Linked DNA regions of Ovis aries. The protein of the gene in region 1 purifies or fractionates together with the protein of each later gene. This does not show direct contact. Links are inferred from orthologs where the notes say so. Each region holds a gene or a part of one and is shown on either strand. Other genes may lie near its edges. The genes, in order: L3MBTL3 and SAMD13.

Region 1 (4,306 bases):
TAGCAGTTTATTTTTCTGAAACTGGTTCAAGGAACATTCCCGAAGTGAAAACATTCAATCGAGAATATTACTACTTACATTTCGGATAAAGATTTTTAATACAGAATTTCCATCTGTGATATATTTAAATTCTAGGCCTCAGGCAGCAATTTTGGAAAAGGGCCTCCTTTACGGTTTATTAGATGCAAACTAGTCCACTCTGAGGGGTAGGGGGCCTTACTTTATCTCCCCACCCCAGCAAAATGTGAAATTTGCTTCCACTAGTCCTGAAATTACCACCGCTCCTTTTTTTTTCCTTGCATGATGAACTCCGTTATTGACCTAAAAGTGTTGATCACAACTTCAATTTCCTGAATTATTTTCTAAGTACTTGTACCTAGTAGAAAAAGAGAATGGTAAGCTGCCCCAAAAGAGGCCTACAGTCAATCAGTGGAAAGCTGTCAATACCGAAAAACAATACTCTTGCTTGATTTGGTTTTGATGCCCTAACAAAGACAGGTTTTGCTGTTTAGGACCGCTCAGCCATCTTGACTGAATACATTCAGAAGGTAGTCCTCGACCTGCTTACTGCCAGAGGACTTTAACACTGATTTCTAAGTTGACATATGTATCCCAACAGATTTCACAACAGAGGCCTAACGCATTTAAGCTGTCAATAAAGACCAACACTAAGAAACGCAAGGCATGCGGATACTTTACATGCACACTTCATAATGCATTCTTCCAGAGAGAGAGGTTGTGTGTGTGTGTGTGCGCGGTGGGGCGGGGGGGGGGGGGGGGGGGTGGCGGTCGTGGGGGGAGCTTAAAACTTTATTTCTCATTTCTCCTGACCTGTAGCATGTGTTTAGCCTTTAGGTTGTGTTTTTGTAAGACCAAGGCCCACTCTTTAATGGCTGAAAGCATACGTTTAACAGTACATGGTGGATCAGCTGCTCTGAGAAATGCCTTTTTTAAAAAAGTAAAGTGGAAAATAGACAAAGAAATCTATCACCTTAGCAGTCTTTCATATTTGTTTTGATTGTTCTGGAACCAGCTCTGAGCTGGTGACAAGGGTACTGAAAAGATGCACCTGAAACAGGATCTGCGGGCTGCTGCATTTGCCAACCGGCTTTAATGCTGCTTTCCAGCGGCGAAGGCGCAGCAGCATTAACAGGGAAGCCAGCGCGAGCCTCCCCGGCAGCGGCGGCGGCACGGCGGCACCGGCACCAGCGCAGTTTCCCCTCTCCCCAGCCCTGACTCTACGCGCACATGCGCACTGCGCCCGCAGCCCTGGACCATTTGTCAGGACTACTCGTGAGACGGAGAAAAAAAAAAGAGAAAATTTGGGGGTAAGAAGCGGTTGATCGGATCTAATCTCTAATTAATCTGAAGATTTGTCCGTGCCAAAGCCCATTCATTTATTTTCCTAGGTGAGGATGAAAGTTAAGAGACCTCTACAGAGAAGGAAGCGCACCCTCGTCTTGTGAAACAGATCAGGGGAGGGGAAAGGACAGAAGGGGTTTCTCCCCCACTTCTCTGCGCCTCTGGGAAAGAGAAGAAAACTTAATCCTGGGGAAAAAAGTGGGCAAGTGACTCGGAAACGGCTGGAGGGGGAGTCTCTGGGCATCTCACTCTGAAGTAGTGAGTGCGAGTGTGAAAGAGGAACAAAAGAGAGAGAAAAGAGAAAGGAAAAAATGGGGGGAGGAGAGACTTGTATTTTTTTCTTTGCGCGCACACGGGGAAGGGTGTGGGGGGCCGTGCGGAAGGGAGCCGGGGCGAGGCGGCCGCGTCGGGCTCTCGCCCGCGCGCAGGCGGCGGGATGCGTGTGGGCCCCCTCCCCCGCGCCCCCCGAGCTTGTCACTTTGGTCGCTTTCATGACACCGGGCGCGGGGTGGGGAGCGCGGCGGCGCCGGGCTCCGCCGGGGTGCGTGCCCGAGTGGGCGCCGCGGAGCCGCAGCCCGGGCGGCGAGCGCGGCGGCCGAGGCGGGGGGCGCCGGCGGCGGGGGTTGGGGGGGGGCGCGCGGGGGTGGCCGGGGCCGCGTATCGGTGCGGCGGGAGGCGCAAGCCCCGCGCGCCGCCCCTGCGGCCCCCTCCGCCCGTGTGGCCTTTGTGCCGGGCGCGCACCGGAGAGCGAGCGAGCGAGCGCGAGAAGTACAAGTACGGGAGACCGAGGCAGTGGGAAAAGAGGCCGGGCCACTTTCTCCCCGCTCGGGCTGCGGAGAATGGACTGGTTGAATGTGCAGGCGCGTCTCCCCGGCGTGTGCTGTGTGTGTGTGCGCGGCGGAAAGGCCTCCCCGACTCCCACCGCGCACACGCACACTCACACGCACGCACACACTCACGGACCCGCGGCGGGCTCGGCGGCCGAGAGTTTGCGTTTTCTTCCTCGCCGCCTCCCACTTCCCGACCGACTGTGTGAGAATTTCATATAGATCAGCTCCAATTTCCGCCATTTTGGGAAAGTTGCACAAAAATAAACCCTCCGGTTTATTTCTGCCCGAGGCAGGAAAGTGCTTCGGGAAGCGAGGCGGCGCGGGCCCGCGGCGGCCGTCCGCGCGGGGGAGGGCGCAGGGCGCGGGCCGGGCCGGGAGCCCGCGCCGTCGCGGCGTTCGCCCCGCGCCGTGCCGCGCCGCGCCGCGCCGGGCCGGGTGCGGGCGCGGGCGTGTGTCGGGAGGCGGCGGCCGCGGCCGCGCCGGGGCGGCGGGCGCGGGTGGGGGGGTTGAGGGGGGGAGGCGCGGGGCTGCTTTTCCTGCAACTTGTTTACGCCGTCCTTATATTGGGGAGGCAGAGAGGGGTCCGAGGCGGGGCCGCCGCCCGCCTGGCGCGGCGTGCGTGTGCCATTCCGGAATAATGGGTTTTGCACACTAGCGTCCTGGGCCCGGCCGGCCGTCCTCGCGCCGCGGCGGCCCGGCGGGGGGAAGTAGAGGCCGGCGGGGGTGGAGATCGGGGAAGCGCAGGAGCCGAGGCATCCGCCGCGCGCCCCGCGAGCTGGTGGCGGGGGCGGGGGGGGGGGGAGAGGGAGGAAAACTTGGGAGCACTGGAGGCGGGGGAGGGGGGCACGGTGGCACGGGCGGGGGGAGGGCGCAACTTTCGTGCTGGTGGTAAAACTTTAATTACCTTGAAAGAAAAAGGCCCTCCGGTCTCCCCCACCCTCTCTGGGCGAAGCCCGGCCCCAGCGCGACCGTGAGAGAAAGTTTAAAAGCGGGCACTTTGCTCCCCGCCTTCCCCGCGGAGGGGTAGGGGTATCTGTTTGTCCGTCTGCGCTCGGAGAGACGTGGGGGTAACGAGCCGCCCTCCGGGGTCGCGACGATCGCGGCTCTCACCCCACCCTTCCACGGGGAGACGAAGGTAAACGTCGCTTCAGTTTCCCTCCTACCTCCTCCCCCCCGCCCCCCCGCTTCCTTTTCCTCCCCCTCCCTGCCGATTTTTTGAGGGGACCCAAAAAACGGAGTCTCTTTCCTTATGCAACTTCCTCGGACGCTGCGAGCACGGCCCTTCCCCCCTCCCTGCATCCCTCGGCTGGCTCCTTGACCACCTCGGGTCTACCGCCAGAAAAAAAATGCGTTAGAGATCATTCACGGTGCACCGAAACAAAAATAGATTTTTGATTGTTCTAAGTTTAAGTTAAGGGAAACTGAGATGAGAAATAAGAAGGGGGGGAGCGGCTGGAGCGAGTGCGTCGAATTTTAATTTTCCTAGAATGTTGTTTGTGATAGCTTTATTGCTGTGGGGAGCCCGAGAGTCTCCGTACTGGCTAACTCGGTCGCGTGGATTTTTGCGCAAGTTTTTAGAAAAACACTGACTCGAGTAGAGCATTTCTCCGGAAAGTTTCAAGTGCAGCAAAATAGCGAACGTGCAAAACTGGCCAAGGGGAGACCTCTAGTGGTTAGACGCGTCTTTAAGTTCGGAAGGCCGAGAGCAAACTTTGGCCTTTACTTTTTAGCTACGTAGTCCGTTCAGACGTGGAAGTGATTAGACGACCTGAGCCAGGGGCCAGATGTTGAATGAAAGGATGCTGATCAGAAATAGAAAGTTTGGTAAATCGGAGAGCAAATGAAATCTAAGGACCCAGCCTTCCAGTTGGGGTACTTCTATAGGAAAGTAGAACCTTCTGAACTTCATGACTTCTATGAACACTTTGCTTTTATTCTGGGATTTGAGATCGGTCACTATGGATTAGACGCAGTTGTTTGATTTTTTTTTTTTTTAATATTTGTCATTGTCTATACATTTGATCAACCTGTAATCAGGAGTGACAGTGGATAATTTCATTTGAATGTTAATTAAAATACGAAATGCAATACATGTTTAAAACTTTGAAAAAATG
Region 2 (3,200 bases), on another chromosome or scaffold:
AAATCCTCTCAAAACTCAATATTCCATATTATCAGCTGAGGAGATAGCAGAGGAAAGGACTGCCTAAGGTCGCAAAGTGGGTGTTTCTTCAACGTTGTTTCTCCCAAACTCACACATTCAGAGCACATCTTCCTCACAGCCTGGCGATGTACATCAGAGGCTTTGGAGGAATGGCCCCCTTGGGGACAGTGTGGGAGGGAGTCACAGCTTTACGTAGCTGCAGGTGCACAGCGAGTCTCCGTGTCTGCCCATTGGCGGTGGAGGGGTGGGCGGGTAAAGTCACGTGCCGCTGTGTGCAGTTTACTGAGCATGCGCAGCTGGTCCATCTCACGAACCCAGGTCTCCTTAGAACTAGCTTAGCGTTGCCTCACAATAACAAAGATAAGGTTGTATTCAGCACTCTTCTCAGTGCCCTTTTCCAAAAGTTTCAAACTACTTTCTATATGTGGGGTCCTCATCTCTTTCACAAGAAGCTTGTTTTTATGTCATTTCAAAATTTTGTAGTCTCCACGGTAGAAGTCCGCGGGCTTGAGAGAAGGGGGCCCGTGGACACTAAGGGGAATCCGGAAGGGAATTTCCGGTGGGCACAGCCCTGCCCCTCGCTGCCTTATCTGGATTCTTGAGGCTCCACTAAGACGGAGTAGGTAGCATGAGAGTTGATATTCAAGTTGAAGCAGGATGGTTCTCCTTTTAAAGGGCAGGAAAGGTTCTCAGAGAGTGAGTCATTTTTCCAATGCCCGCTGTTCTGATCGAAAAGGTTTCAGAAAACCTGACTCTGGTCCCCATTGGTCCATCGAGACAACACATATTTGCTTCTAAGTGTCAAGAGAAACAGAAGTGAGTTATGAGAAGAGCATGGGCTTTGGCTTTAGGCAGATGAGAATTCAAATTCTGTGCCATTCTTTTGTAACTTCTGGGCAAGCTAACTTTTTGCCTTTATCCTCGGTTTGCCTATAAAATTAAGTTGATAATTCCTACCTGTCCTAATTTATGGAGTGATTTTGGGAATTAAATAGACAAAAATTCTTCTTAAACTTCAATAACATTTTTTAAATGCAAAGTGTCGGTCTTCCTTTCAGAAGCTTCGTCTTTGATCCTTCAGGATACATACTCCAGGCTTGCTGTCAGTTTTTTAAGATGTGACATTTGTGATGTGATCTTGAAAACAAAATCAGCTGTAGATTATATTTAACTCCAAAATAAATGGTGAAGATGGAAGATAAAAATAGAAGATTACATTTGGGGCACTAGTTTAAAAAAAAATAGTAATGTTTTTAGTGTGGAGACAAAAACTTCTTCCTTCTGTTTTTCTGCATTATGCTTGAACTTTTGGACTTACATGTTGGATTTACCTTCTGCTTCCATTATAGGAAATTGACGGAAAATCCCTGCTACTGATGACAAGAAATGATGTGTTGACAGGACTTCAGTTAAAACTGGGGCCTGCTCTGAAAATCTACGAGTATCATGTAAAACCTCTTCAGACAAAGCATTTAAAGCACAACTCTTCCTAGTAGTCAAATTGGGGTCTTGGACCTCAAAAAATACATAATGAAAGAATTTGGTTTCATGTGATGAAACTTTGTAAACAGAATACATACATGTGTATATGTAAAGAATTTCAATCAAATGAAACGTTATCCTATGGGATAGACTAGGCAATCCATCGGCTAACCTGAACTCAGCCAGGAGGAGTGAGGACATGCAAACAGGATGGTTTACCTTGTTGACCTAGTCAAATAGAGTGGTCTTTGATGAGATTAGATACCCTTCCCCACAAGGAGGGTTTTCTTCATAGATTACTTTCCCAAATTCCTTGAAAATAGAACTGAATGGAATGAACATCTTCCAGTTACAGAGGTAACTGACTGTAACAGGGAAGATCAAAAGCAAGAAAATTTGGGGAGGGGGATAAAAGAGAAAGGGATTGCACCTCCCTTGAAGTCCTCTGCTCCTTAGAGCTTGTGTTATTTGGATGGAATTGCCAACACCCTTTTTTATAGAGGGTCCTCCACTTGACCTTATTAAGGTTTCACTGGGATATGCTGCCATGTTGGAAATGGACGTACATCATGGCCCCTTTAGAAGCAGAACTGTAGCTCTGGAAAGAGAAACTCTGTTGTGTTTTGGGGATATCCATCTATCTTCAGTTAGCTTTCATGGGGGTTAATGGTATTTTCTGCATAGATCTGCTTTTAAATCGATTCTTGGTTTCTGAAGAAGACTTTTTTCCCACATTATGGTTTGTATTTATAATAATTTGTTTCTGAAGAAATTTGCCAAGAGTTATAGATCAAAAAGCCTTGTTACCAGTACAGAATATTTTTCTATATATATATTCCTTCATGATGGTGTACTATTTTTTTAATTCCTCCAATGCTTTGTTTGATTTCTGGTTTGAGTACTTGTTTTTAAGAACTTGAAAAAGTGGGCTTGCTTCATCTCTGTTCAAAGAGACATTTGTTCAGTCTCTGTGTGTTGATGCCATATTGAACTGGTGCTTTGTGGTTACAATAAAGCATTGCTTAAGTTTATTCTCAGTGTGTTCATTTTTTATCTTTTCAGTTTGGTGCCTCTTTGGTTGGGCTTCGAGGTCACTCCTTGAAACCATGGAGAGAAAGTTAAGCCTGCTTTAAGAAATTAATTATATATATAGAAGACGTGTAGATCTATATGTAGATTTATCTTCTTTATAAACTGAATTGTCTAAGTCAGCCTTATTCCTTACCTGTATCCTACAACTAATTTTATTATCATTTAGGGTATCATTTTAGCCACTGTTTGTCTGTTTTTTTTCTTTTTTAGCTATAAGCCTGTGGGGGAAGGGGTGTCACGAATATTTTGAAATTCCGATGAAAACTTTGGACCTTCCCTCCAAATGAAAACTCATATTCCCACATACAAAACATTGCAGAGTTGATGGACTCTGCAAAATTCTCTCTTTCCCCTCCTCAAGTTAAAGAGTCCTTATTTCAGAGACTGTTATAATTCAATCTCCTATGGAGATGTTTTCTCTAAAGAAGAGAAAGTCTAAATGAGTGGGATTCAAAACTGTATTCCAAATTAATTCAATTATGGAGTTTATGGCGTGTTGTTTTTGTTTTTTCATGGCTGCACCGTGTGGCTTGGCTTATAAAATCATTGTTCCCCAAGCAGGGCTTAAACCTGGGCCCTTGGAAATGAAAGCTCAGAGTCCTAAC

The links.
Region 2: the proteins of L3MBTL3 (region 1) and SAMD13 purify together in Homo sapiens (affinity purification with mass spectrometry; 3 studies listed by BioGRID and IntAct, counting the BioPlex papers as one, with this or other methods). This does not show direct contact. The link is inferred for Ovis aries from reciprocal best matches to the Homo sapiens genes L3MBTL3 and SAMD13.

What each region holds. Positions count from the first base shown.
Region 1 is NC_056061.1:55,649,411-55,653,716, forward strand, and holds the start of L3MBTL3 (lethal(3)malignant brain tumor-like protein 3), read left to right. Parts: upstream 1-1,244; 5' UTR 1,245-1,328; exon of another isoform or gene 1,329-1,409; intron 1,410-1,941; exon of another isoform or gene 1,942-2,394; intron 2,395-3,186; exon of another isoform or gene 3,187-3,327; intron 3,328-3,437; exon of another isoform or gene 3,438-4,306. UniProt on the Homo sapiens protein: Is a negative regulator of Notch target genes expression, required for RBPJ-mediated transcriptional repression. It recruits KDM1A to Notch-responsive elements and promotes KDM1A-mediated H3K4me demethylation.
Region 2 is NC_056054.1:61,363,284-61,366,483, forward strand, and holds the end of SAMD13 (sterile alpha motif domain-containing protein 13), read left to right. Parts: exon of another isoform or gene 1-1,364; intron 1,365-1,370; coding exon 1,371-1,514; 3' UTR 1,515-2,534; downstream 2,535-3,200.